3 linked regions of the Nothobranchius furzeri genome follow. The protein of the gene in region 1 binds, or shares a complex with, the protein of each later gene. Links are inferred from orthologs where the notes say so. Each region holds a gene or a part of one and is shown on either strand. Other genes may lie near its edges.

What was found.
Region 2: the proteins of orc3 (region 1) and orc5 are in contact, whole or in part, in a cryo-EM structure (PDB 7JPO), measured with the Homo sapiens proteins. The link is inferred for Nothobranchius furzeri from reciprocal best matches to the Homo sapiens genes ORC3 and ORC5. Residues at the interface, in NP_036513.2 of Homo sapiens: Glu99, Val109, Met144, Lys145, Leu148, His178, Ser180, Met181, Asp182, Glu223, Asp232, Ile235, Ile236, Gln239, His240, Ala253, Thr254, Ser255, Pro256, Ile257, Ile258, Ile259, Arg261, His265, Ser269, Cys272, Ile273, Glu274, Leu275, Ser280; in NP_002544.1 of Homo sapiens: Asn62, Val64, Glu65, Phe67, Thr68, Arg70, Leu71, Gln75, Tyr129, Leu270, Arg271, Ser274, Ser275, Ser276, Gln277, Leu294, His297, Thr298, His299, Val300, Glu301, Leu302, Pro303, Tyr304, Tyr305, Ser306, Asp360, Tyr367, Arg373, Pro376.
Region 3: the proteins of orc3 (region 1) and orc2 are in contact, whole or in part, in a cryo-EM structure (PDB 7JPO), measured with the Homo sapiens proteins. The link is inferred for Nothobranchius furzeri from reciprocal best matches to the Homo sapiens genes ORC3 and ORC2. Residues at the interface, in NP_036513.2 of Homo sapiens: Thr3, Ser4, Ser5, Met6, Ser7, Lys8, Gly9, Cys10, Phe11, Val12, Phe13, Lys14, Pro15, Arg20, Ile22, Ile26, Tyr29, Phe30, Lys32, Tyr47, Val111, Thr112, Lys139, Asp318, Lys326, Gln329, Leu330, Leu333, Tyr337, Glu589; in NP_006181.1 of Homo sapiens: Leu239, Glu242, Tyr243, Ala246, His247, Asp268, Arg273, Leu276, Val279, Ser280, Phe283, Glu286, Leu287, Leu290, Lys296, Leu297, His299, Lys300, Met302, Leu303, Gln304, His306, Leu307, Phe309, Tyr314, Gly315, Leu316, Arg320, Glu324, Arg327.

The regions. Positions count from the first base shown.
Region 1 is NC_091758.1:29,124,290-29,133,833, forward strand, and holds orc3 (origin recognition complex subunit 3), read right to left. Parts: upstream 5,128-9,544; 5' UTR 5,032-5,127; coding exon 5,008-5,031; intron 4,902-5,007; coding exon 4,847-4,901; intron 4,764-4,846; coding exon 4,666-4,763; intron 4,593-4,665; coding exon 4,454-4,592; intron 4,359-4,453; coding exon 4,254-4,358; intron 4,159-4,253; coding exon 3,995-4,158; intron 3,918-3,994; coding exon 3,778-3,917; intron 3,698-3,777; coding exon 3,538-3,697; intron 3,464-3,537; coding exon 3,350-3,463; intron 3,267-3,349; coding exon 3,133-3,266; intron 3,051-3,132; coding exon 2,987-3,050; intron 2,915-2,986; coding exon 2,798-2,914; intron 2,700-2,797; coding exon 2,620-2,699; intron 2,421-2,619; coding exon 2,287-2,420; intron 2,220-2,286; coding exon 2,125-2,219; intron 2,046-2,124; coding exon 1,957-2,045; intron 1,871-1,956; coding exon 1,729-1,870; intron 1,658-1,728; coding exon 1,541-1,657; intron 1,461-1,540; coding exon 1,381-1,460; intron 1,077-1,380; and 3 more. Other genes in the region: akirin-2, read left to right, coding at 254-325, 419-429; znf292a (zinc finger protein 292a), read right to left, coding at 6,278-9,544. UniProt on the Homo sapiens protein: Component of the origin recognition complex (ORC) that binds origins of replication. DNA-binding is ATP-dependent. The specific DNA sequences that define origins of replication have not been identified yet.
Region 2 is NC_091741.1:42,934,071-42,943,580, reverse strand, and holds the start of orc5 (origin recognition complex subunit 5), read right to left. Parts: upstream 6,185-9,510; 5' UTR 6,048-6,184; coding exon 5,934-6,047; intron 5,260-5,933; coding exon 5,167-5,259; intron 3,967-5,166; coding exon 3,781-3,966; intron 3,572-3,780; coding exon 3,497-3,571; intron 1-3,496. Other genes in the region: lhfpl3 (LHFPL tetraspan subfamily member 3 protein), read left to right, coding at 7,333-7,768. UniProt on the Homo sapiens protein: Component of the origin recognition complex (ORC) that binds origins of replication. DNA-binding is ATP-dependent. The specific DNA sequences that define origins of replication have not been identified yet.
Region 3 is NC_091751.1:63,945,519-63,955,040, reverse strand, and holds the start of orc2 (origin recognition complex subunit 2), read right to left. Parts: upstream 5,804-9,522; 5' UTR 5,667-5,803; exon of another isoform or gene 5,533-5,666; 5' UTR 5,531-5,532; coding exon 5,461-5,530; intron 5,342-5,460; coding exon 5,183-5,341; intron 4,812-5,182; coding exon 4,725-4,811; intron 4,636-4,724; coding exon 4,546-4,635; intron 4,470-4,545; coding exon 4,438-4,469; intron 4,359-4,437; coding exon 4,301-4,358; intron 4,226-4,300; coding exon 3,927-4,225; intron 3,848-3,926; coding exon 3,738-3,847; intron 2,520-3,737; coding exon 2,387-2,519; intron 2,299-2,386; coding exon 2,202-2,298; intron 2,117-2,201; coding exon 1,970-2,116; intron 1,849-1,969; coding exon 1,677-1,848; intron 380-1,676; coding exon 318-379; intron 250-317; coding exon 131-249; intron 51-130; coding exon 1-50. Other genes in the region: zgc:162816 (D-serine dehydratase), read right to left, coding at 7,985-8,074, 8,275-8,380. UniProt on the Homo sapiens protein: Component of the origin recognition complex (ORC) that binds origins of replication. DNA-binding is ATP-dependent. The specific DNA sequences that define origins of replication have not been identified yet.

The sequences.
Region 1 (9,544 bases):
GTAACTATAATTACTTTTTAATAGCAACGCTCCCAGCACTGGTGTTTGATCAAAATGTCCAGAGTGTCAGTTAAACTGAGGTTACTGTTGTTTTGCAGGAATAAATCACAAACTTGCTGAAACCATCAGATGGAGCATGTTCTGTAACACATTTTAGTTCACCAGACATGCTTTTAAATTCCCCAACCTCTCCTTTTTAACGTGTTGCATCTGAGTGACGGCAGCGTTAACCGATTCCTTTCTGAAATTCCAGAACAATACGACACCTTTGTGAAATTTACACACGATCAGTTAATGCGACGATTCGGAGAGCAGCCGGCGAGCTGTGAGTTCCTCTTTTTTTCTTTCCACATTCCTGCTCCACTGGCCTGGATTCAGCTAACGGGTCTGGTTTGTGTATTTCATCTCTCTTCTCCAGATGTTTCCTGAGTGTGGCACCGACGCTTTGCAGGAAGCGAGCTCGTCATGATGCTTCTTAAGAGTTCCTCGTTGGGAGAGATTTGATTTTAGCTAGTTTAAATGAAACTTTTTACCGTGCCATACGTCTGTTGGGCAAAACAAGGTTTGAATGAAGCTGTTGTTGGCAGTGTGTTGTAAGCAGCCGTGTCCTTCCTGATGTAAATGAGCGGCCCCCGTCTCCACCAGTGGCCTCTGTCCCTCCAGCTATCTTACTTTTGTAATGACTCCCAGCATTCCAGACTTGTTGCATGTAAATATGAGGAAATCTCTAACATTTTATAGGATTTGCTGGTCAATCTGAAAGGGAGTGCAAGAACTTTAGTGATTTTCTTTTTTTTAATAGGCATAAAGTGAGGGCTAATTTTTTTTTAATTAGATTTCCACCCCTTACTGATATCTCTTAAGAAAATCAGGGACATTTGATTTTTATTTACAGAAAAACTGTGCGTTTGAGTCCAACTTAGCACAAAAACCACAGATTTATGTTTTTTTTCCCCCCTTGAAGATTAGATCAACAGCCTCCCCACGTGAGTCGAGCCACATGGTCGGTCTTCTGCTTCGTGGACTTGATGAAGCCCAGAAACTCCAGCTCAGCCACGGCGCGGATGAAACGAGCGCTGAAAGGAAAAGTTGAGGAAAAACAAATTTTAAATCTTTTTGTCTGATTTCCATGAAATCAGTCTGATCACATCTGCTGTCAAGGACTGTTACATTTTCTAGGGGCAAAAAGTAAAATGACATAATTGCTTCGTGTGCGTGTGTGTGTGTAACCCTTCAACATGTGAAACAAGTGAATTCCCTGAAGTGTCACTATGTTTCCCTTCTTGTTTGAATAAAAACTTCAGCTGCTCAACTGTTAGTTTTGTTTTTCTAACTGAAAATTTTCAGATTTAGTAGAGAAACTGAAATCAGAAAGGATGCTGTTTGACTTCGTCCACTTTCCCGAAGCCGTCGGAGTCTGGATCGGTCCCCTCGGCAGCAGAAATCACGGTGGAATACGCCTGAAAACAAAAACAGTCGAACAAAACCTCTCCGACAGAAAATCGGCTCATCTCTGGAGCTAAACGCTCGTCTCACTCACCTCCAGCCAATCGTAGAGGTTGATCAGTCGGCCGCACTCCAGGTGGAGCTTGTATGCGATGCAGATATCCGGAGCAGAGTTGGACACTGTGCCGTCGTCGGACTTTAAGCTCTCATTCTGAAAATAAAGCCACCGTCAACATCTGACCGTCGTCCACAGGAGCAATCTGTTGTTTTATGAAGACGAACCTGAAGGTAGTGGTAGGGGCTGCTGAGTGCAGCCTGAATGGAGGTGCGAGGTGCAGCATTGAGGTGGCGTCTGACAGCAGCTGAAGAACTGTAGTAGCAGACTTCATACAGCGGCTGAGACTCTGGGGGGGATAGGTGACTCCTGATTGGCACAAATACACATTAAATTAGCTATTCTGTTACTTTAATCAACTCTTGTGGATCTAAGTTTTATTTTTCATTTCTTACTTCACTAAAGTGTCGATAAAGTCCAGAGCTTCGTTACGTAGAGCCTCAAACGGACTCTTTTTCCTGGATCTGCGAGACTCCAGCAGCGTCTGCAAGTAGATCAAATGTCCAAACGGCTTTAAAAAAGTATTTCGTCAAAGAACAGAAAAAAATGTCTGATGGACGTACCTTCTGCAGCTGGAATAGATCTGTTTTCTTTGGAAGGTTTTTTACTGGAGAGGTGAAGTTTTCCTCTGAAGCGGTACTCTGATCAGTAGCAGGTGCTGTGTGAACAACAAAAGATTATGATCATAAATTAAAAAAAAACTTAAAAATCCTGCTTTGAACTACCATCCAGCTGCTGGAATTTGGACAGTAGTTCCTCCAGTTGGACGCAAGCACTCTTCATCTGAGTTGACCTGATGGGCTGCAGGATTTCTGCACATTTCTGCAGCAAAGAGATCAGCTCGTCTTTCGCCAGCATCCTGAAGAAAAAAGTACAAAAATACTGACCACCAGGGGGAGGAACACCTCTAAAAATCCCACAACTTTGTCGCCACCTAGTGGCAAATCTAACTGGCTGCAACTGAATGGAGAGATGGCATTGCGTTTACATCAAAATAGCTAAATAGAAATGCCTCAAAAAATAAAAAAATTACAAGTTTTATGTTGAGCTCAGCTTACTTTAAAAGATTCACAGCTGACTGGTACTCCTCCGCCTCCCACACGTTCTTCTCCAGGCAAATCAAGTGCAGCTCCCTGATCTGCAGCAGTAAGAAAAAGGAGACTCCAAAAATCAAAGAACGAAGTGAGACCAAAGCAAAAAGATGGTTTAAATGAAAGTTTAAAACTGTTTTCTTGCCTGTTTTCCGAGAGGGTATCGAGGCAACGATGAGGTCAGAGTGTGGAGACACCTCAAAATGGGATAATAGCACTTGTGGTATTTGTGAAGATCCTTCATCAGTTTTTGACAAACGTTCTAAAATCACAAAAAGGATAAAATCCTGTGCACAAAAAAAAAGTCGTCTAAAAACTGAAATCTTTAACAAACCTTTAAATGAGAGTCATCCGTCCTGAGCTTTTCCTGCTCTTCTATTTCTTGCTTTTCCACAAACCTAAAAACGAATTTTAACACAAAGAGCTTTTTTTTTTTTCATTCAGTTATAGAAAATGATCATCTCAGCTGGTTTTGTTCACCTCCTGAACGACGGGAGCTGCCTGACCCTCTCCAGGTCATCATGGCGAAGGTGTTTCAGGTTCAGCAGAGCCTTCTCCTTCCTACAGCACAGCACGCTGAGGGGCTGCGAGTAAAAGTGCTCCAGCAGGGCCAGCTGCACCCAGGACGGGAAGATAGTCGGGAGAAAATCAGTCCCTTACATTTACATACCTTACTCGTTTAGACCCCGATCCTCACCTGCAGGCCCTTAATGAAGTTTTTGACTGAGAAGTCGTGGTAGAGGAAGATGCCCACCAGCACCTGCATCACTTTCCCGTTGAGTTTGAAGGGAAAAGAATGTGTCAGGATCAACTGGAAAGAAGGGATGGACTTTTATCAGATTCAAAATCTTCGATCAGCATGCACAGATGTCACGGTGAAGGCACCTTTTCTATGACGGTGGTGAGATGCTGAGAGCAGGACAGGGACTGGAAGAGCTCTATGCACAGCAGCGAGGACACAGAGTGAGGCAGCATGTGCTGGATGGTGCTGGGCGCCGTGGCGATCCCGAAGATAAACATCAGGGGAAGACGCTGAACGTAACGGCTGTGGATCAATCATCAGACGCAGTTTTAACCTTCCAACGTAAACCGTGAGAGCTTCTCACGTGTCTGCTCTAAAGTCACCTGCAGACAAGGATGAAGTCCTGAAGAACTCTCGGATTAAAAGCTTCCAAATCTTTGAAGACGATCACCACCGGAGGCTCCTGCTGCTCGTTAACGACCAAAGAACTGCGCTTTTTTCCGGGAGTTCCACTGCTGGATTTCTTAAACCCAAGAAAACGTTTGTTTTCACCTCGCCGAATTAAAAACCTGCATGAGCGGACCTGCGTCGTGTCCTCACCTTTGTTTTCTTACTATACCAATCGCAGAGAGTCGTCAAGGAGCAGTGAACACTCCTGTGGTGCTGCTCCGTTTCCTCCTCCACCTCATCATCATCATCATCACCTACAGCTACAACCGTGTCCATCAATCTCTCCAGAACCTTCTTCATCAAATGCTTAAGAGCTGAAATAATAAAACCAAAAAGTCTACTCCTGAATATTGTGACATTTACAGTAAAATCCTGACGCGTTTGTATATTTTGAAGCTTTTCCCATCACCTCCACACTCTTTGGCTTGCACAGACGCCACATGGGGGGTGACAGACGTCTGGAGCAGCTCAGACAGACTCTGGAAGGTCATGTCATGATCTGTGACGTTCACGCCTGCAGTGAGAGATGAAAGTCAAATGCAGCTTGCGGGATTTTTGTAATAATGCAAGTTAGCAGCTTGAAAAAACAAAACAATAACTACTGGGTACCAAGGATGAGAGCGGCTGTGGGAATTTCACTTGCTCTCATCTGTGAGGTCCAGTCACTGTGATGGCGGATGGAGGAGCATTTTTTGGTGAACTCCAACAAACTGTCCAGAACTTTTCTGTTGAGCTCATCCTGTAAAATCTTATTTAAAAAAAAAAGATTATGCTGATCTGCACATTCTCTGTATTTTTTTGATATTATAATTTGTTCTTACTTCTGTCTCAGTTTTGATTTGGTCCCACAGATCCTGGCAGAGCTCGAATCTCAACTCACTGCTCCGTGCATCTTCACAGCCATCAGTGAAATAGCTCTCTGTGTAAAAATACAGACACGTTTATATCGCAACAAACAGATCCAACTAACAACTCTTCTCTGTCTAATGTAACATAGCTCACCCAAATCAAGGGTCTTTTTCTTCTTTTTAGCGCTGGGCTTGAAAACAAAGCAGCCCTAAAGGGACACAGCAAAACACAGTCGAGTCTGACGCAAATATCGCGAGGTCTCCATTTTTGTTAATAGAAACGTCGTTGAACGACAACAAGCTATAAGAAGTTACCTTTGAAACAGAAGAGGTGGCCATCTTTCTTCAAACTCTTTGTAGTAGTTTCTTTTTTAAAAAAACGCTACTTTTCATGAAACGTAGCCGCGACTTCCCGCCAGAGTGACGTTTACGGAAAAGGTTGGAAGTGTTAGAATGTATGGCAAGCCGCTATAGCATATAATTAGATGTAGCCGCTATAGCATATAATTAGATGCCGCCATAGAATATAATAGACAACAAAATGTAACCGTGATCACACACATATATTTTATTTTGTGTGTTTATATTTAAATATCACAAAGCTGTCTAAAAATTGAATGACTCAAATATTAAACACATTTTCTGTGTATTATAAAATGCATGTAATCCACAATGTGTATTAGTCTTGTTTACCACATCTTTTAGTTTTAGATTAAAAGTAATTTGGCTTTATTTGAATTTAAATAAAAATAAAAATGGAGCTTGTTATAAATTCAGAACAGCTTCATAAACTACTTATGAATAAAGTAAACATATTGACAATACATTATGAATGTGATTCTGCAGATTATAATAAAGTATAATTTAAATCTTTTAAACTGGCTCTAGCTTCGTCCAATTTGTGAATGCTGCATTTTATCCCTTTCCCAGAATCTTAATCCTTCCGTGTACAGCACTTTGATCATGCCGTTTTTAAATGTGCTATAAATTAAAATGGTTTATGAGATCATCTTTGAAAGTTTATTTAATTCAAGAAGTTACAATTTCATGAATAACTGGGTTTAAGCAGCTGTGTTGTTGTATTTGTAGATCAAATTGATGACATTTTTAAAAAGACAAGATTTCACTCGTGCTTTTATAAAAAAGAACCAGTAACATTTTATTGAACACTTTGTGGAAGACATGTAAATATTACAGATAGGTCTACTAGTGTTGAAAAGGGATGAAATAAATACAAACAGGACTCGAAATCCCATAGGGATATTTATAAAAACATAGTTTTCTTTAAAAGGTGTCCATTTAGTAAAAGAAAAAAAACATATTCAGTACTAAGCATAAATACAAACATGGTTCTAAAATCTATGCCCTATAGCTTACCTGGTTATTATAACTAACATACATAGTTAAAATCATCAGAGACATATTTTTTCAATTAGGTACAAAATAGGCCATTTCATTGTTAACTGTGACCATGACTGTTAACAGTTGGAAATCTGATGCATTAAGAAACAAATCATTCTGCAGCATAACGTCTCAAATCCTGAGTAAGACAGGGTAGGAAACAAAAAGACAACAACAAAATGAGCTATGATTCACTAAAAATCCTCTTTTTTATAATAACCGTGGGTCTCATATGTTGTAGCTGCTTAAGTAAAAGTTCAGCACCATCTGAAAATGTTTTATCCATAACAATTTTTACATTACTCACAGAATTTAGCTTTACAGGGTTTCTGAAGTCTATAAGATTCTCACAACCTCTAATGTCGTTCGTCATTTGACTTTTACTTCCAGATTTCAGTTTGGGAGTCTGTTGTCTTTTGTGCGGCACCTCAGAATTGGGTTTCTCATTTATTTTACGTTTAGAAGAAACTGTTGTCTCTGAGGTTTCCAAGAACTTGAGGAAGGAGTCCTCGAGTCCTAAAGGCTTGAAACATCCCGGTGAAGCCCCATCTTCTCGTTGCTCTTGGGTCGAAGGGGTACCGGGATTTGAGTTCTCTCCGGAACTGTTAACAGTCAAGCGGTTTCTAAGGGTCTGCATCCTTTCTGGACATGCTGGTGTAGGCTGTGAAGGTTTTCTAGGACGCCCCCTTTTAGGTCCGACTCCTGTGCCATTGGAAGCTTGAGATTCTGCGCTATCATCGTTGGACAGCTTGGCGTCCTCCTTCTCTTCGACTTTCTCTTCGACTTTTTCTTGTTCCACCACCAAAGTCTCCTCCGTTTTCCCCTCAATAGGCTTCACGCTTTCCTCAAGCTCCGTCTCTTCAGAAGAAGAACTTTCTGCTCCTTCTAATTTGTTTGCATCTTTGAATCTGGAGCGTGAATACTTTTTGCAGAAAATGAACTGACTTCTCTGATCTTCTATGTATCTTTCTGTGAGGCCATGAGTTGTGTAATGCTTGAATATGTTTCTTTCAGCCCGCTCTACTGCGTCGCAGCCGATGATCATGCACGGATACTGCAGGGGGGACTTCTTGGTGCACATGGCTGATGCCTCTTCGTGGGTTTTTAGTGTAGGCTTGCCAAAACTAGTCCAGTGTTCAATGGATTTCCCGTCTTTCTTTTTAGTGTTTTTCTTTTTCATTTTGAATTTATTGTCTACATTCTCCTTCCCGTTATTAATCCCTGGAAAGAGCCCGATTGATTTAGTTCGTCTTCCGTCGCTCGCTTTGGGATCATAAATATAATCATGCTTTTTGATCAGGTGGCGAAGGAGGTTTGATTTTGTAGTGTACACACGGTCACATCCATCATACTGGCACCGGAAGGTTGGATCAACTGATCCTCTGTCAGACACAGCAATCTCTTTGTGGAAATTCTTAATGTGCTCAATGTACTTCTCCACGGAGTTGAAAGGGAGAGCACATTCTGGGCGGTCACAGTTAAACGTTCCTAGGGTCATACTGGCCATCATGGCAGTGGCTTTGTCGCAGGTGAACTTGTGAAGTAAGAGGTAATGCTGCACTAACCTTGTGATACCCATGAACACCCTGGAACAATTTCTTACCTGACACCTGACCTCGTCATCTTTTCCTATGCACTCAATGCTCTCCTGTCTATCAACAACAGCGACCTTTTCTGTCTCGGATTCGATTTTGCTTGAGGGCAGCGATGCCTGATGCATGGCTCTATAATGGAGAATCAAGTTTTGCTGGATGGTGAAAGCTGCAGTGCATCCTTCATGAACACAGCGATAAGGTCTATACGGGCTGTAGGCATTGTCTGTGTCGCACATTTTTAAACTCAGCCTTTTTTGATTTTTTTCTTTTCTCTCCTCCTTTGTTGGTGTGCTTTTAGAGCTGCTTGGTTTCTCTGGGGAGGATGATGCAGAAGCTGTAGAAGACGAAGCAGACATTGCGGAGGGCTTTGGTTCTTTTACTTTAATCTGTGACATATCAGAATTTTCTTGCTGCACCTTTATTTTGGCTAAAGGACTCAATTTTTCTTTCACACTGACTTTCACTTTCACCTCTGGGCTCCTGTCTGTGACAGATACCTTAGGTTGCTCTGGAGGCCTTTCAAGGGCAGGAGGTGCCACGTCTTCATGCATCCTTTCAGCCAGATAGTTTTGTGGAGACGGTAGACGTGTAACAGTTGACATCTCTGGTGTCGAGATCCGTTTTACAGCCTCTCCTGAAGGGATGTCAGGGAGATTTGGGTTGCTTTCAATAACCGGCTGAGGTGCAATTGCAATGTCAAGTGGTTCCTGTTTTAAAATAGGGATCACAGATGCAGACTTTTTGGTGCAACTGGTGCTGGGTTCAGTGCTTGGGCGATTATTTTTAACAGAACCATCTTTAAGTCTGAATGCACGCCGACTTCGAGCATTGATTCTTAACTTCTGCATTTCTGACTTTGACAGACGGTGAACTTTTTCATAATGAATTCTCAACCCCGTTGTTCTTGTGAACGTTTTTGAGCAAATCTGACATGGATATGGAGCCAGTTTGGATGGGGTTCTTTTGAGCTCTTCGATCATTTCGCTGGTATAATCATGCATTTTGCACAAGTGTTTGAATAAAGCCTCCTTCGTCATGAATGAGTACTCACAGTCATTCTGGTCACACTTAAACGGTTTAGGTATCTTCTCAGTAGGCTTCCCATCACGTTTACTTGGTGTTTTACCTTTCTCTATTTCAGGGGTTTTCTTGCTTTGAGTAGAATTTTGCTCCAAGGCCAAGACATTTTGAATTTTCTCCTGTGCTGCTTGCGCAGCCTCAATCAAATCCATCTTTTGAAATCCATGTGATACTTCCATCAGGTTACTCTCCCGATAACATCCAGCAACTGGAGGGCTAGCCAGCTCGGGTGTTTTTTCTTGCTGGTCTTCAGGGCCAGCTGAGAAGGGTTTTGAATGGTCCATTATGTTTGTGGTCTGGGGTTCCTTCTTCAACATCAGAGGTGAATTCATCGTGGTCAAGTTGCATGGTTCCTCAGAGAATCCTCCATTTGGCAAATTATACAATGATCCATTAGTGTCAGGAACATGGGGGTCATTAAGGAAATCCAAAAATGACGTCGGCAGGTCTGCTGTCAGGTCAATTTCATCAAGAGGTCTGCACTGTGAGCGTTTTGAAAGATGACCTCCGAGAGATTTGGTGCTGGTAAACTCTCTGAAACACCTCCTGCAAATAACTTTCCCGTCCTTAATGATTGCGGGCCATTTGGTTCGCTTGCTCAGCCTGCTGCGTTTTCCTTTTTGGGCATCGGCATCGCCAGTCTTGTCATCTGAATTGTTAGCCTGACAGTCAGCATTAGGACAATCCTCATCGTAAGGAAAATCTGAGTGAATGACACTGTTCGGACTGAGCATGCCATCCACAGAGTTTTCCATCTGTTCGTATCCAGGCGTTGA
Region 2 (9,510 bases), on another chromosome or scaffold:
AAAATATAAATTAAGGAAATTAACAATACTAATTAATAGATATCTAATTAACTAATAGATAATTTCATAATGAATTATTGGAAGGGTGAATAACTAAAATAACGAGTTTAATATTAAACATCGGTTAAAACAAGAATCTTGAACATCACTAACAGAAACAGAAGAGGAAAGCTGTATACTATTGGTCCAGGTGGGAATCTGAAATTTCATTGGCTGAGAGAAATAAGTCCCGCCTCCGCGAAATAAAACCGTGCGACGCAGCTGAGCGAGAGGAGAGACAAACGGCTGTGCAGCACGCAGATACAGAAAGCAAAGACTGAGCGGTTAGAGAGAAAGAGAGAGAGAAAAAAAAACAACGGTCGAGGCCGTGAAGAACCCTGATTTGGGTGCCGCATAGATAGAGGGAGAGGCGGACTTGACTCCTTCTAATAAGAGCTAGGAACTTGGAACCAACGCGGTGAGTAAAGAAAAAAGAAGAGAAAAAGCTAACGATGCAACTTAAAAAAAAAAAAAAGGAAACTTAAATAGCTTATCAAATTAATTCCATTCTTATAGATTTGTGTGGAGACGACAGAGTGAACCAATCCTCTGTAGGAGGGAACCGTTGGAGCGCGTTGGTGAGTGAATGAGATTAAATTCAGTAAATTATTAAATTCAAAAAGCTAATTACAGCAACCGAGGTGACAGCAGTGGGCTGCTAGACGTTAGATCCCAGGAGTTAACATCTCAAACTACCAGTTAACGGTGGTAGGGCATATAGGAGTTAACGGCTCAAACCGCCAGTTAACGGCGGTAGGGCATATGGGATTCCCAGGAGTTAACGGCTCAAACCGCCAGTTAATGGTGGTACGGCCTAGATGTACAAGGTCCTCAGGGGCGTTATAGCTAACGCCATAGAATTAGCAATGCGTCCCTTAACCAAACATTTAATAATAAAAAAAATAGATAAATAAAAATAAATAAAAGCTAACTGATTAGGGAGGAATTATTTTACAAAGGTGGACCAAAGGACCAGAATTTATATTTTGTTGAATTTTGTTATAGAACATTTTATTTATTTATTTATTTATTTATTTATTTATTGTGTTACAGAATGAATATCCTTTAAAATAATTTCTACATGTTCATTTCTTTACTTTCACAACTGACCAGTAAGAATATCCTTTAGACAATGATAAATAATTTAATTGCTATGTAGAAAAGGAATTACAAAAAGGTGTTGTTAAATAAATGTTAAAAGGGCTTGCCATACATACCATACCATGTTTATTTATAGAGCACATTTAAAAGCAGCAAAGCAGCAGGGAACAGAGGAGCTCCGTAAAAACAGAAATAAAATCAAACAACCTAAAAATGAGATTAAAAATAGACAAATAAAAGTGTCATTGGTACTAAAAACATGAGAAAATAAAAGCAGGGAAAGCACAGAATAAAACACCAAAGGCAATCAGTCCTAAGATATAGTAAAAGTAGGTCAATGACCAAAGGCAAGGTGATAAAATAGGTTTGCAGCGCAGACTTAAAACGGCCTAGTGAAGGGGCCTGTCGTATTTGGAGGGGGAGGGCATTCCAGAGTTTGGGGGCAGCGAAAGAGAATGCTCGCTCTCCACGAGATTTGTAGTGCATCTTCGGGATGCACAGTAGTAGCTGATCTGCTGATCTAAGGGATCTAGAAGGAGCATACAGTTTTATTAGTTCAGCGAGGTAAGTGGGAGTTGGGCCTTTCAATGCATGTACATGTTTGTTGTAGACAAATACAGAGGAATCGTAGAACATTACCAAATGAACCCTCGTTCACTGGATTGTTCTAATATTACTGTTGAATCACTTCAGTAAGGGCTGGTCGATATGGCCTAAAATCAATATCACGATAAATTGAGGATTTCACCTCCATAACGATAAATGGACGATAACTACAGGTATGCGCAGAAACAAAAGTTGCCCACTAGATGAGGTTGTCACATGAATTACGTTGAGTCACATTTTTACGTTGCTCAAGGTGGTACAGCTTCTTAAAAAAATGAATGTTGCCAACCTACACACATCTTTTCATTTTTTTATTATCAAATTTATTGACATGGAAAAAAAAATTGCGATAAGTCTGAAATTTCGTTAACGATAAATTTTCGATTTATTGCCCAGCCCTAACTTCAGTCACGGTCGTAATCTGACTCAGTTGGAGCTACTTTTTGTGCGTGATGATCTCAGAGACGATGACAAGTTTAAATAACCAGAAGTCCACTTCCCCGTGTCAACTCCACAAAAGAGCAATGGTTGTGTCTACTCCATGTTACAAACACACTTATTATTGTGTGTTTTCAATTATTGGCTAAAAGAAAAGTGAACATTGAAACACAAGAAGTATTTTACTGATGCAGACATGATGCAGACGTTGCTGTTTTGACTGAACCTCGGGTCAGAACAAAACATGGTGGAGATGCATTTAGTTACTATGCTGCTCACATATGGAATTGGCTTCCCCTTGACCTCAGATCTGCCCCAACCCTAGTGTTGTTTAAATCGCCTTTAAATGAATTGTTTCTTATCATGCGTCAAATCCGCTGTAATCTGCGTTGTAACTTTGTCTTCTCCTTCAGCTCTAAACTGTAATTCCATCTGTGTGTATTCTAATTTGTGTTTTTATGTGTTTTCATATCATGTCCTGATAATTGCAAAGCACAGTGAATTGCCTCCGTGTTTGAAATGTGCTCTATGAATAAAGCTGCCTTGCCTTGATTGAAGGAGGCAAGTTGTATTCAAGCTAATTGTATCAAAGCGTGTTAACAAATGATAATAATGTGGCCCATTGAGACTTGTATTTGAGTACCTCTGGAGTAACATTTTTATTGGACCCTTTTGGATGTAAAAACACTATTTTGTTTCAGATGGCTCTGTTCTGTCAATGATGAGGCTTCAAGTGGTGAGTTAAACATTTTGGAGGAATTTCAGTGTGGTTTGACAAAAGCCTGTACGTTGTCTACAATTACTGTTGTATCCTTGACTGGCATATATCATTGGAATCACAAGAATCCTAGCTTTCTAATTATGTATAATATGTAAATGTATATAGAAAGTGTGTTGAAAGACGATGCTAATTTGACCAGTAATTATGTTTATCCCATGTGTGAGACTAATTGGCACCTGGCAGCAAAAAAAAGATGCATAAAGTGAGTTTTGCATTATATGTCCCCTTTAATTCTTACATCATTCTCCACATACCCATGATTCTACGTCTTAATTATCACTTCAAAATCCCATGTGGCAGCACTGCAACAGGATCACAGCTTGTACAGAAAAAAAACATCACTTGAGTCTATTTAAAATGCAGCAAGTGGTTGCCATCTTTCCTTCCTAACAGCATTATGAAAGAGCTCTCTACAAACAGCAGCTCAAGGACATTTCCTCACTAATAAAACTCTTCATCATCGGCGCAGTTTATCAACAACAAAGCGTTTTGGGTGATAAACACCACAAAGAGCGAGCTGTGTTTTCTCACCAGTTCCTGAAGACGAAGGAGGGCAGGAAGAAGATTGGCATCGGCGTCTCTTAGAAGTTCAGGCTTCTCCATAATCTGAAACATATCCACGTGTTTACTTTCGGTTTACAACATTTACACTCACTAAATAAAAGGTGTTTAAATGAAAAACACTTTCAGTCCAAATTCTACATCAAATTAACACTGTTTCTGGCACAGAAACGTCAGGTCAATACATCTGGAGCTTTGTTTACCACTTGCATTACAACAGATGGCATCATAAATAACACAGATGTGTCACTCACGATGTATCGCGTCTGCTCAGCAGGAAACTGGGAGGATTGTTGCCTGTAGATCCGCACAAAGTCAGACAAGGAGGGACTACGAGGGAGCAGCGAGGCAGCATCGCAGCCAAAGAAGGACAGTAGCACTTGTTCAAACAGCAACGCAACAGACACACATTCGACGCAGCTGACCGTGGCGTGAGGAAGCTGAGGAGGAGAAGGAGCAATGGTGAAGGTCAAAAAGTCATAAGATGGGTGAACATAAAAACTCCACTCTGTGTTAATTTTTAATCCGATTTAAAAAGTAATAAATTTCCCCACTGTGTGATTAATAAAGTCTATTTTATTCTAACATTTGATGAAAGAAATACAAATTAAATAAATAAAAAGTATGCTGGGGCCTTTATATAAAAACCTTGAATGAATGTATTTGTGATTCGGGTCTTTTCTGGACAAAAGAAGGCCCTGATGTACACTTTTTGTAGCCACCACTTTTATGTGAACGTTTGTAGAAGAAACACAAACTACTTTGAGTTCTTTATAATAAAACCCATATAAAAACCACTGGCAAGAAAGTAGCCATCCATAAACTACAAATTTTAATATTCTACACGATTTAAAAGGCTTTGTTTGCTTCTAGATATTTTGTTATTGTAATAGTACTCTGCAGTGGTCTGTTTAAAGGTTTACACAAGCTGAAAGAGTAAGGATCCAACTCTGAAATAAAACAAGCCCACATGTTCATCACTTGTCCTTCAACCATCTTTTTTTTCCAGAAAGGCGACTTATTGTGCTCAAACTCTGGATTTTATAATCAGCCCACATTTCATGAAGTAAAGCTAATAGACTTGTTAAATGTAAAATAAACTATTTCAAGCGGTTATTTCTTGTCATTCTCATGATGATGTAATACAGATCATGTCAAAGTGATGAATGGCCTGCATTTGTTTATTAGCGCCTTTCTGAGTTAGAGGACTCCAAAGTGCTTCAACCTACAGTCATTCACACACTGATGAGCTACACTGTAACCACAGCTAAACTGGGGCATTTTGACGGAGGCGAGGCTCCCTTACACAGGTGCCACAGGTCCCTCCAACCACTGACAGTCTGACACAATGGCCAACTCAACACAGCCTGGGATTGAACCAGTAAACCACCAGTTACAGAGTGAACTCCTAACCCCTAAGCCACCTTCACCCCTTCATAATGTTCTTATTTTATGGAGCATGAATTTGGGGTTTTTCTTATCTGTAACCTTTAATATTCCTAATTACAAGGAATAAACTATTTTAGTCTGTGTAATAAATAAATGGGTATCAATTTCTGAAATGAGGGACAAGCATAGAAATTTGCCATTTAATGAATTTTTTTTTGGAAAGGCACCCATAGACAATAAGTATCTCTCACCTCCAACTCTTCCATCAAAATATTTGTCACGTGACTTTTTCCTGAGGACCGATGGCCATAGATGAAGACTGAAGGGTAGCAGTACTGCTGTGGCTGGAAGAGCATAAAAATAGCATTTTTGTATCAATATTTTTTTGCATTTTAATGTATAAATTTCCCAAGGATTAAAATGTCATCATCTACTCACAACATTAGAAGCTTGTAACAATAGCTTTGTCACAAAAAAAAAAAAAAAAAAATAAGCTACTGCTGGCTCTTGATTATCCCACAGCTTCATATTTTTTAGATATTTTTTTAGATTCTCGTATAACTTTAGAATTACACCAAAATATATTTTGCTGCAGTTGCCCAAACATAATTTACATTAGGGAATTATGTCATCTTGATGCAGCTTTTATTTAGGTTTAGATGTCTGTAAACATATGAAGGTTTCTGGGTACCATTGTATTTTCTCAAGCAAACTTATATTATAAAAATGTGTAAATATGTACTGCAAAGAAAAATCATGCAATAAATTGAAAAAGCTCTACTGAGGACAGCCCGTTGTGCTCAAACAGCCAAATGACACCATCAAGATTATACAACTTGCATTGCACTAACACAAAAAGATTTGATGAGCATCTTCGGCAAGCTGTAATGTGCCTGCGAAACAAAGGTTTACAGACGTGAAACTCCAGTTTACCTGACAGAGAAAACACAATCAAACGCTGACAGTGAGAATGGAGACCAAGCCAACGATTCTTTTAAACCACCATTATAGTTCCTACCTGTCCCATGAGAGACAGCAGCATCCCAGCCTGGACTTCTCTACAAGGCAGCAGCTCTGAGACTCTTTTTAGCCTTTCTTCGTCGTATCCTGGTTGCTGTAACAGCCCCGTCATCCTTACCGTCCAACTCCCAAATATGCCCGCACGGTTTAATCGTCACGAGGCTTAGAATAATCTGTCTAAAACCGTGACAGTTAGCATAAAACTCGGCTTTTTGTAACTGAAAGTCCACCGACACGAGGCGGAAAAGACGAACACAGGCGGTAATTTGGGAGGAAAAAGTGCCAAAAAGAGAATTAACGTCGGGAAAGTACCGATAGAACAAGTTGGGGGTAAACTAACACCCTGAAAGAAACCAAGTAAGCAACTTTAAATGATGAGAAAATGCATTTTCTCTTAAGAGAACTGGATAAAACGTTAGCTGCATTTTCTCGCGCGCCTTCGAATTGCGTAGAAACGTGATCCTCTGTTACCCAATGAAAATAGAGCTCAGAACTCTGGGAAATGTAGTTTAAAGGTTAAACACAATTTAAATAGCATATTTTGGATTTGATGTGGTGATTTTAGGTTAGTATTTTAGTAATATAGGGATTTATCTACAATATGATCCAGAAATAATAGCATTGACTTAATCTACTACTTTTGTAACGAACATTTTAATACGTCACTGTTTTATATTGGTTGAAATAACAAACTCTGTCTAGTTCTTAAATTTAAATATTTGATTGTTTGTCAGTCTAGATAGCAAAAAAATCAGTTCATTTGGTAAAATTACTAATTTGCATGAATTAAGATTTGATGATTAAAAATGAAAACATTCCGAAAAATCATAATGATCACTGATCGCTTTGTGTTTTTATCTTTGTTCGTTTTAGTAGTAAAAATAAGTAATTTTTAGTCATGCAAAATCTCTAATTCATTGCCACTGAAGTCATGTTACCATATTTTCTGTACATTTTTCATTTTAAATCTTTGTGTTTGAAATTTCGCGCGAGCAACGTCAGAATGGGATTAAGGGATGTGGGTTGGCCCTGTACTATACACGGACATCTGCGGTTGTGCTCCTCAGACGGATCCGTGCAGGGAGATCTCACACATCCCCTGATAAGAAGCGGACTGCATTCCACTACATATGCGCGCAAATGGAGAATGAATCTGCAAATGGATTACCGGCGCTCGTATTTTCCCAGAGCCACGTTTCGATTCTGCAGGCTGATGAATGAAAATCGGAGCTCCAGAACAGAAATCAGGACCCGGCCTTGCCTCTATACAGTGCAGCTGATGCTGTGGACACGAGTGTAAGGAAAGAAAACACAACCGAACCAGAGGAAGTTCTGCTGATTACCAGATGAGGCAGGTGCCACTTTGATCCGCATCCTCCCCACACAGACCAGAGGAAATGGTCCCCGGGGCTCCCAGCGCGACCACCACCATGCTCCCTGCCTCCGAGGCTGCCAAAATCTACCAAACCAACTACGTCCGGAACTCCAGGGCCATCGGCGTCCTGTGGGCCATCTTCACCATCCTTTTCGCCATCGTTAACGTGGTGTGCTTCATCCAGCCCTACTGGATCGGAGACGGTGCGGACACCCCGCAGGTGGGCTACTTCGGTCTGTTCCACTACTGCATCGGAAATGGACTGTCCCGGGACTTGACCTGTCAGGGCAGCTTCGCCGAGTTCAGCAGCATCCCCTCCGGTGCGTTCAAGGCTGCCTCGGTCTTCATCGGCATGTCCATGTCTCTAGTCCTTACGTGCATCGGCTGCTTCGCGCTTTTCTTCTTCTGCAGCACCGGTACGGTGTACAAGATCTGCGGCTGGATGCAGCTGGCTGCAGGTAGGAAACTCGGACGGCAGGTATGGGGAGCTCCAGCACTCAGCTTGTCCAGATCTGCAACTGTTCTCATATCTCAATCAGATGTTTGTTGTGGGAAAAAGCTGAAAACTAAGAGAGCTTACCTCAAATTTTCATCTCAAAAACAAAATGTGTGGCTTTTTAGCTTCCAAAAACATAAGGCCAAAGAAAGAAATCATCTGCTTTGAATTTCTGAATCTGTAGAGGCTTTAAAAGCGCACTAATCTACTGAGCTGCAAATTTTAGTTTCAGGAGCACTCTGCACAACTTTATGAAAATATTCTGGAATTTGTAAAATTAAATAAAAAAGAAAGGACGCATTTTCTCTTTGCTTGTGCACATTCAAAATGTGTTAAGCTCCCATCATAAAAATATTTATTATATTAAAACAAATCATGCAGAGGATCATGATCAGAAATTAAACAAAACCTGGTAAACTACTAAAATCTTGTAATGGATGACTGACCACAGCTTTGCCTTTTCAGTGGTTTAAATGCCTTGAACCTACTTTGTGGGGTCGCGGGGGGACAGAGAGCCGGTCCATCGCAGGGCAACACCGAGACACACAGGACAAACAATCATGCACACACACACTTAAAGACAATTTAGACAGACCAATTTTGGACTGTGGGAGGAAGCCACGCATGGAGAACATGCAAACTCCATGCAGAAAGATCTCAGGCTGGGAAGCAAACCCAGGACCTTCTTGCTGCAAGGCAACAGCTCTAACCACTGCACCGCCATACTAAATGCCTTGAAACTTAAATAGTAAAAATGCATTTTTTTTATTTTGCACATCAAATAGACATTAATGATTTCCTGCACCATTCTCGTCAAAATATTCTAAATAAAAATCATTAAAAGGCAACATGTAGAGGAGGCAGAACAGCTTTGCATTAGGTTATCTTAAAGTATGCAGCTTTCACAAAAATGATATATTTAACACCTGATTCAGAAATACCAGTTCAGTTCTGCAGAAGCCTATTCATCGCCCACTGATTAAAATCAGGACTGTTGAAGCAGAGAAACCTCTAAAATTTGCTGGTGGTGGCCCTGTAGGACCAGGAGTCACTGTTATGAAAATATTTCTGTCAGGATGTATTTTAATATTTCAGACTCATTATCTACAACTGAATAAATGAGAGTGAACAAAAAATAATCACAGCTCAGAGACATCAAAGTCCTAGCCACAGAACAGACCAAATCATCAACCCACCACCACCGTGCTGTATAGCTGGTATAAGCTGTTCTAATGCGATAGATTTGGTTTAATATCTTTGTTACATTTGCACTGAGTTGGTTATCCAATTTCATTTTCTTTAGTTCTTCTCTGTACACAAGGTGATACAGTGAATTTTCGATGTTCTCTGCTGCCTTTGTCGGAGAAACCGGGATGCTGATGGCATCACTTCCTTTTATCCCTGGGCAGCAGAGGATGATATCGCCCTCTGCTGCCCGTGCCTTCTCTGCTGATCTGATTACTGTGTCCAATGAGTGGTCCAAGGTGTAAACTCCTCCGTCCCTGTTCATAGTCCTGCGTCCACGTCTCTTTATCTCTATTGCTTCTTTGATCCATCTTCAGAATTTCTGTTCCTCTGTGTTTATGATCTGCGTGTTATCCCAGTCCATTATATGATTTTCTCTTGTACAGTGGTCTGGTTTGTTATGATTAAACATCACAGACAAACATCCAAAGGAGGTAATTTCTGGTTCATCTTTGTAAA
Region 3 (9,522 bases), on another chromosome or scaffold:
AGTGTGTTCGCATCCACGGCAACATTCAGGTACTCCACTCCGTCGGCCCCCTGGAGGTCAGAGAAAAGCAAAGTCAGCAAAGAAACGCTGGGACAGAGAGCGGAAGCGGGAAACGTAAGGTGAAGCTCACTTTTCGTGTCCGAATCAGCTTATGGTCCCTAAACTCTGTCAGCTGAGTCCTCAGTGTGAGGTCAGAGTTCACCAAGAAGGCTTCTCTGCAGCGCTGGTAAAAGTCTTGGAAAGACAACCCTGCGTACAAATGTTTATAACCGTCACACACTGAAGAAATGAAAAGGAGGAGCTGAAGGATTTTGTACCCGTGTATGAAGGGTTGTCTTTGTTTTCCAGCTGAAACTTCACCAACAGTCTGAAGATTCCTCTGCAGGAGTAAAAGACGACAGTTAAAAACCTAAAATATGACAAGTAATCAGATCCGGTTCTAGCGCTAAAGCAGGCCCGTCTGGTACTATGACAGCCTGTGGGCGCGCTTCCCACCAACCAGAAAAACTACAGATCCCGGAATGCAGCACAGTTAAGTTTTCCGTTTTTTCCCTCTTTAGAATTATGATGCTGAAGCTTGGTTTATGCTTGACGCGTTCACTTTCCGCGCGGTGATGCGGGTCGCGGCTGGAACGCGCTTCACAACTCGGCAGCGTTTATGGTTTGTGCGGCTCGTCTCTGCGGTGAGCCAATATTCTCCCAAACTGTAGGGGGCAGCATGGAGCTCTACGGCATGCTTCCAACACTACACCATAGTAGAAGTAGAAATGACTGTTTACAACATGGCATTTCAGCATTTTTAACAGCGTCCTCGTCTTTTCCGACAGTGCGAGCCATTTCTCTCCAAGAATTATTAACAACATGTTGATCACGGTGATCTCTGAGAGCTGAATCATACAAATGTCTGTATTTATGAACCTCTGCCATACTAGTTCTTGCCGGTCCGCCATGTTTTTCCGCATCCGTCCGTCCGCGTGGTTAGAAATTTTCCGAGGTGCACGTTGCGGAAATTCTGGGCCGTGCGGAGGCACGGTGGAGGGGCGTGGTTGTTAAAATGACGCAAAATGACGCAACTTTTCCGCGCGGAGTCGTGCGGACCTCGCGGACGCGTCAAGCATAAACCAACCTTGAGAAAAACAAACTGGAACGTTGGAAGGATGTTCACCACATCACAGATGTGACATGTTAATGTAGATTTTTCAAAGATTATTTCAGGATTAAGATGCATTTATTAGCTTTTCTTTTTGAGACTGAAATCCTGAGTGAGGGGGAAGGGGAGCATAAAGAGACCAACTAGGGATGCACCGATACCGATACTGGTATCGGTGCAGATACCGATACGATACTGGTATCGGTATCGGTAAAAGTAAACCGATACAAATGCAGTTGCTTGAAAATGGCTTCACTGTAACTTGTCATTTCTGTTCACCTGATAATTTAGTTTTGTGATGATTTCTATTCATGTATTTTACTTTTTATCTACCTCACAGTCTTTTCCCGTTGAAAGCAGAGAAGAAAATAAAATCTGTATTCCAAATCATAACTTTTTTTTTGTGTGGTAGAAGTATAGGTATCGGTAATCGTATCGGCAAATATTCAGATCCAAGTATCGGTATTGTATCGGTTTGGAAAAAAGTGGTATCGTTGCATCCCTAGGACCAACATGGCTGCAGTACCTCGCGTTGGGAGTCAAGCTGCGGAGCACGTGTGTGAGGGAGGACAGAGCGAGAGCACCCGTCTGCTGCACCAAGAGTGAGTTTTCATACGACGTCTCCTCTGCATAGTGCTGGAACGTCACACACTCCCACCACAACCAGTTAAACTGGCTCTGCTTGAACTGGTCCCACACTGGAAACACATTAGGAACACTTAGGTGCAAGAACAGACCAATCCCTGTGACGAGCTGATGGAGATGGGCGCCAGCTTCTCCGTGATCCCGACAGCGGTACTAATTCCCGTGACCACCCACCCAGTGGAGCATTGATGTGGTCTATGGAAGCCACCAAGTGCAGGTTTGGTAAGGACGCCAGCTGCCCCAGTGCGCTCTGGGTCTTCTCTCCTCGCAGCATTTGCCCGTCAATGTTATGGATCAGTAAAAACACACGGAGACCTGGGTCTGCAGAGACGTCAGAAAAGTAAAACTCACAAATCCAACAAACGTGAAGGCTGAGACAACTAGTCTCGCTCACTCAGCGACTTACTGCCTTTGAGGGTCTGAGCGATGAACTGGATCTGGTCCGACGGCGTGCGGAAACTTCCTTCGTGCTCCAGAACCTCACATGTCAGGGAGTTTAATATCTGCAGCGCGATCACATGACAGCTGTGGTTTGTTCTGTTTTCTGTAGACAGTCGCAATAAAAACGCACATTTTCACTGGTCTACGAACCGCTTTAAGAGTAATGGAGGGGAAGAACCCGTTGACCACCAGGTGGATCTCTTGAGACAGATGAGCCACCCTGAAGTCTTCGAGCAAAGCCTTTTTGCTGCCCAAACCATAAACCAGAACACTGAATCCCAACCTGCAAACCAACAACAAGCACCTCTTGGGAGAAGTAGGGGTTGCATGACTTAATTTTTTTTAAAGTCGACAGTCAAGTAATGAAAATCGAGTCGACTTCGACTAGTCGTTGATGACGTCATTCACCTGAAGCGGCGGCGGGGGGGGGGGGGGGGGGGGGGGGGGGTCGGTAGGTTCGCTGGAGTTTTTGACAATTAAAATTGCACCCAAATTGAAAGAAAGAATTTTCTAAGTTAAACATCTCTTTTAACAACGGTAGTTTCTGCATCAGCCCTCTCCCCCCTCCCCCTGCGCAGCGGCCACAAACTCACTGATGCGCCTGCAGCCTCTCAGAGTTCCTGCTGCTCTAAACATTAAAATAATTAGTTCATTTTCTGTTCCTCACTTCTGATTACCTTCAATGGTGTCTGTTTGTTGCAACCACCAGGTACAAAAACTAACTTGTTTTTATTTGCCTATTTTTCTGTCCTGCCTGTTTATTATCTTCCTGCATCTCCTCTCAGTCCTAAAGAAAAACTGCTACCTGGGTTCATATATATTCACCTTATGAGTTACCTTTGAACTGCAGTTCTAAAAGATCTACCGACCGCAAAAACAGCGGAGTGCCGCTGCTCGCCGGCCGACTACAACGGGACCGTTTTTGCTGCGGAGTTCGTGCCGGAGCGGAGATAGTGGAATCTTGGGGGTGCGTCACCGGAGGACAAAACAGGTGAAGAGCCTCGCTCCGCAGCAGCGAAACGCATCAGGCACAAATAACAGACAGAAAACATGAAAGGAAATGAGCCGACATGAACGATCGCGTGTTTAGTTAGTTTTTGAGGTGGTGACACCTGATTTGGCGGTGCTCTGGACGCAGATGTCTGGAGCGCGTCAACGATCAGAGCTTTGCATGCGCAAACTGGTTAAGATTAGGATGGGGGTGAGGGGAAGGTTAAATTGCAAGAGGGTAAAGGTCACAGTTTGGTTAAATGTCCGTTTTACCGCCGGTGTCAGTACCGACGCTCTGGCACAGCGCGTCGCCTCCGCCTCCCGACGCAGGGGCTCATCACCTGCTGGAGGACTGCATCTTGTCAGTCATTATCACGTGACAGCGACTAGTCGATGACAGGCATAAAAAGTCACTACAGAGCCGTGAAGTCGACTAGTTCATACAACCCCTAGGGAGACGTTTTAGTAGAACAGAGTCAAACCGTAGGAAAGGGCACGCCGCCACACTCACTGCAGCTGTAACATCCATTTGTTAAAGTGCTTCCTGTGTTTGTCGTGCAGCTGCTGGATCTCTTTTGAGTAGCAAGACGGTTTATCTTCTAAAAGACGATCCAACGTCTCCTGTCCAAAAAGTAAAAGAGGTGGAGTTTAGCCAAAGGTTTATTATAATGGACTAACATGTAACTTTTAATTCACACACCCGGTCAAACTTAGGGGTGTGCAAACGCTGGAGGGTCCGGTCCGACGTCAGGACCTTTGAGCTGCCATGAGCCTCAAAATACTCCTCGGTCATGGTGGGCTGATTCAGAGGCTCGGCTGTGTTCTTGCTCCTCTTGGCAGGAGTCTTGTAGAGAGCTGCAGAAAGCCCTTTACTAGGGGTTCTCGTCTTTTTCACATTCTCCTTGTCCTCTTGCTTCCCTCTCTGCTCTTCTTTGAGCTCGTCCTCCTCAGAGTCAGAGGGGGAGAGTTCACTGTCGCTGTCAGACCGAAGAGTTGGTGCTGAAAATAAGCCCCACCACACCCAGATTACACCAGCGTTACTAAACGAACACAACTACAACAGGCCAGGCGTACCTGTAAGTCTCTTCCTGAGTCTGTGAGGGGTGGTGGAGACAAACCGGACACTCTTTTTCTGTTTCAGGAGAAACAAAACTAAATTAAAACAAACTAAATCCTTCACTGGATAAAGTGAAATGTATTAGCTCTCTCACCCTCTGTGGTGTCCTGTTTTCACCTGCGTGGCCTAGACAGACAAAAGTAAACCTGATCATTTCATAATGAGAGCACAGGCGGACGGGGAGTGGGTTCGCTCGACTCACTGCTGCCTGTCCGAGAGGGAGTGGTGGGTTCCGAGTTTGTGTCCCTGGTGAAGCTCACGCTTTTTCCCGGGGTCCGAGCCAGTTCGCTCGCTACGAAGGGAAACAACAAAACAACGGTTTAATAAATGCAGCTGAAGATGAACGTTGAGCCTTCGTTCGAGAGGTAATCGGAGATTCACCAGTTTGGGCCAAGCTGTGACTTCGTTTGACTTTCTGGAAGGTGAAGATGGAGGAACCAGCAACTCTAGAAGGATTATCGTCTACTTCTGTGAAGCCAAAGAACATATTAGTGGCATTAAGAGACATTTAGGTTCATGTTATGGCTTTATTAGGTAATGTCAAAATACTAAACTCGATGATCTACAGTGGCACCGAGAAGACAGGAGGCAGGGCAGGTGAAAATGTTGAGATTGTCTTCAGGAGTGACAGGATCAGGATTAGAGGGACTGCGTTAGATGATTTGAAATAAGATCAGGCTAAGATGGTTTGGACATGGAGGAATCTGCAGAAGGATGCTCAGGCTGGAACAGCCAGGCAGGAGTCGTGGAGGAAAGCCAAAGAGCAGATTTATGGATGGAAGAGTGGAGGATGAGGGTGAAAATGCAGCAGGACAAAACCAGAACCAAGGAAGGGATACCTTCATCGTTTTCAGTTCCTAAAGCTCGGACATAACCCAGCTCATCATGGACTCCGTTTTCATCTCCATCACACCGAGTCTCCTCCAGGCATTCCCTCTGTCCAGCCGGGCTCTTAAACTTCACCATCCTCAGCCCAGAGCCAGCACTGCTCTGCAATACTAGTCACAACACACACACACACACACACGCGCGCGCGCGCGCGCACACACACACACGCACACATAAAACGAGAGCGAATGGGCAAAAAACAAAACAGCAGAGATAAACCAGCTCATACCCTCCTGTTTGTCCACGATGTGCTCCAAAACATCCCCATCCCCAACGAACTTCACCTCCAACACGCTCATTTCTACCAATAAACACAAAACACACGATACAAGCCTGAAGCCACGCAGCAAAACACACAATTAGCCCTGCTACTAGAGTCGGTTTGAACTCTCGCGCTAAAGCTGAGGAAAGTGAGCGCAAAAGGTCGAGACTTACTCAAACGGGCGGAAAAAGTCCGCAAAACAATATAAAATTTAAAACATAAACAAAACTTTAAAGTCGGAAAGTTTAATTGAGAAGCGATGTGACAAGTTTCCGCGCCATTCTGAACATTTTAAATCACGTGACTGAGTGGAAAGGTCATAAAGTGGCCAATCAAAACGCTAGTAGCAGTAAAACTACGTTTCCCAAGAATCCTTTCAACAAGTCCGCCTGTCACAAGTCCACAGACAAATAATATTCAAGTCAGGTATTCTTACTCTAATTCACAGCAGTAGAAAAAACTTTGTACAGGTAAGATCAAATGTAATGGACACAATATGACACGCTTAAGCACAGAAAAGAAGAAGTAGTGAAAATAATGAAAATAGAACTGTGAAAATAAAGTTTAACGTTGTAAAGAAAAGAAAGAAAGAGAACGATCTTTTCTCTCAAGTTAAAAATCACGAGGCGCTTCACAAAACCAAAAAATTCAAGTATAAAAAGATTTAAAAAATGATTACAAATATGTTTAAAAATAATATATGAATTATAAAAATAATAAATTAGGATTAAACCAAATCCTAAATACAAGGATTGACTGGATACTGATTAAAATACTTTAATGATTCAGGTTGATATCTGATCTGACATTAGTTAATGTCCATATTTCAAGTTACATTCAGTTTGTGGTCATTTTCAATAAGAATCACATTTCTTGGTAATCTGTAAAGGGCATTTTATTGCCATGTTTATTTTTTTCATTCAGTTTCAATTTCAAGTAGTCTTGAGAATCAGTGTGTGTCACGTTTGATGCTGTGATTATTGTTTATTTAGTATTCATTCAACTCCACAATCCGGTTAAAGATTCACTAAAGAAAGGGGATTTAGATGTCTTGCTATTAGTTAAGTCTTTTCGTTCTAGCGGCCTCAAATATTATTCTGAAATCTGTCTACGTGTGTGTGTGTGTTAGTGAGCACTTTCCCTCTACCAAGATGATCCATCCCACCGCATGTAGAAAAAGTTTCAGAGGTTTCAGTTCAGCTCATGAAAAATGGGAGCAAAAACAAAAGTGTTGCGTCTATATTTATACTGACAAATTTGTTCGTGAGAATCCAGATTTAGAAAACTATTTAACACTTTGGATTCACTTTTGCTCATTGAAACAGTTTATTTTTTCACCTTTCACTACAAAAATTTAGTTGATACAGTTTTACACAAGACAATATCTGCACTTTTTTGACAAGAACATCTTCAATTCTGTATGAATACAATCCACCATGTATAAAATCTCCTTTATGTGGATCTAAATTCCTCCTTTAATCTTCTGGATGTTATTCATTTTTATGTCTTCCTCGGAGATCTCATGGGGCGAGGCAGGGAAATACACTCGCTCATAAGTTTGGGTTTGTTCTGGTTGATAATTCCTATTATATTGATTTAAAATAAAAACTGAAATGACTGAGCTTTAATAAAAAACTACGTTATCACTGAAACAACATCAGCATTAAATAACAGTAGGGTTTAGGGTCAGGGCGACACAGCAGCTCAACATTTTTATGTCTCTTCGATTGTCCCTAAATAGGAGAGGAGACTGCTGATCAAATTCTGATAGTTGGTGTCAAGCCTTTATTTTCCATTATTTCTAAGTCACTGGTTTGAACTAGGGATGCACCGATGGATTGGCATTTGATCCCAATCGGCCGATAGCGCCCCTATCGGTTTTGATCGGAGTTTTCAAAATAGATCAAAGCAGACCGATCAGACCATTTTAGATTAGGTTACATTTCCTTTATTCCCAGATTATGTGGTTTGTAGCACTCATTGTAATGTTGTATAAAATTTCTGGCCAATCCACATGATCGGTATCGGTGATCAGCATTCTTTGATATCGGTATCGGCAGCAAAAAACCCCCATCACCTTTGAGATAATACAAGAGGGTCAAGGGGACAAAATCAAACGTGAGAAATGTTCCATTAAAATATAACCTTTGTATGTGTTTAAGGCTAGAATTCTACCATTTAAATGGCGACAGAAAGAATGATCATGATATTAATTAAACAATCAGTAAACAACTCGTCTCACTGAAATGTATTTATCTACACAATGGACAAAAACAAATTTTTTAAATTTGCTTTGATTTACAGAGATAACATTACGTAAAAACAAAGATGGCCAATTTTACAACACATCGATTTAGAAAATGGTTAAAGTCTCATAAAAACAGGCTCTGATATGTTTTTTTTTCCAGACACCAGTCTAATCAACCACAAATATGCTGTTTTAGGTGGACAAGTATCTTCATCTAACAACATCCAGGTCAAAACTTGGGCTTCACCACCCACGGGTGGGGTTCCACGTCCCCAGCAGACGACCCTTGGAGTGTACATGATACACGGGATGCATCATGGCTGTCGCACAGGACTGAAATAAAATAAAAATAAACTTTAAAACACAATAGCAACACAATGAATCCGACACCACATGAAGGAATGTCCAGTATGAGAACCTTCAGAGGAACTCCCGTCACTGACGGCTTCTTGGATAACAGAATATAATCTTCTAACCGAGCCTCTTTTAATCCTACAGACAGGTTGCTAAAGGTCACATTAAACAATACTAACGTGGTGGGGGATCAACGAGAGCAAAGTACCAAGAGGGTATTTGCTGTAGTCCAGATGACCCGAGATGGGCTCCAGTCTTCCATGTTCCTGAGTCATTGATGACAACCTGGAGGGATACATAACCAAGTGCAACATAAACAACATGTAAGAATGAAGTAAAAATGACATCTTGTGGTCAAATATGGTGACTGCAGCTCACTTTGCTAAACAAAAAGTTACTGTCTCACTGTTGTTCTGTGAGTTTTATGGCTCTTGCCAGTTACAGATCAGCACCAGAAGATTCTAGATGATAAGCAAAGTTGATAAGTAGATAAATACATAATTATATCTGGTAGGGCTGGGCGATATGGTCTAAAATCAATATCACGATATATTGAGGATTTCACCTCGATAACGATAAGTGGACGATAACTACAGGTATTAGCAGAAATGAAAATTGTCCACTAGATGGGGCTGTCGCGTGTATTACGTTGAATCACATTTTTACGTGACTCAAGGTGGTACAGCTTCTTAAAGGGACATGAATGTTGCCCATCTACACACATCTTTTCATTTTTTATTATCACATTTATTGACACGGGAACAATTTATCCCGATAAGAGTCAGAAATGTCGATAACGATAAATTTTCAATTTATTGCCCAGCCCTAACATCTGGTGTTCGCACACTTGGATATTTTACGGTAGAGAGCATTTACTACACTTATTACGGTAATGCATCAGGCATTACAGGAAGTGTGTTTGTTTGCCGTCTTGCTGTTAGCTTGCTCTAATAGTTCTGAACGACTCATTAAAGGAAGTAAAATGCTGCGATTGACTCATTATTCATGTCACACACACATTTCACTTTAATACTGAGATGTTGCTAATTGAGAAAGTAGCTTAAGATATTTTTAGAGCCGAGTACTTGCTCCTAATTCACCATTATAACTGTTAGCTCAGCGTTAGCCTCTAGCCTGATTCACTCAAGTAAAACAAAAAGATGTTGTGGCTTCTTAGGGTTACAAGAAATAACTTCTGGGTCACTCCTGTTTACTGGCACTGGTTCTTTAAACAACTCTGGAGCTTGCCAGTGTCGAATTAGAAATGCTGGCGGCGCTGCACCGTTAGCTCGCCACAGACTGTAGCTGATGTCCGAAACGATGTCCCTCCTTTGTTTTTTGAAAATAGACAAACTGACAACACCCAACCAGCTGAGAATGAAATCTGTTTTCATTTAACCTCCCTTCCAACATGACTGAGACATTAG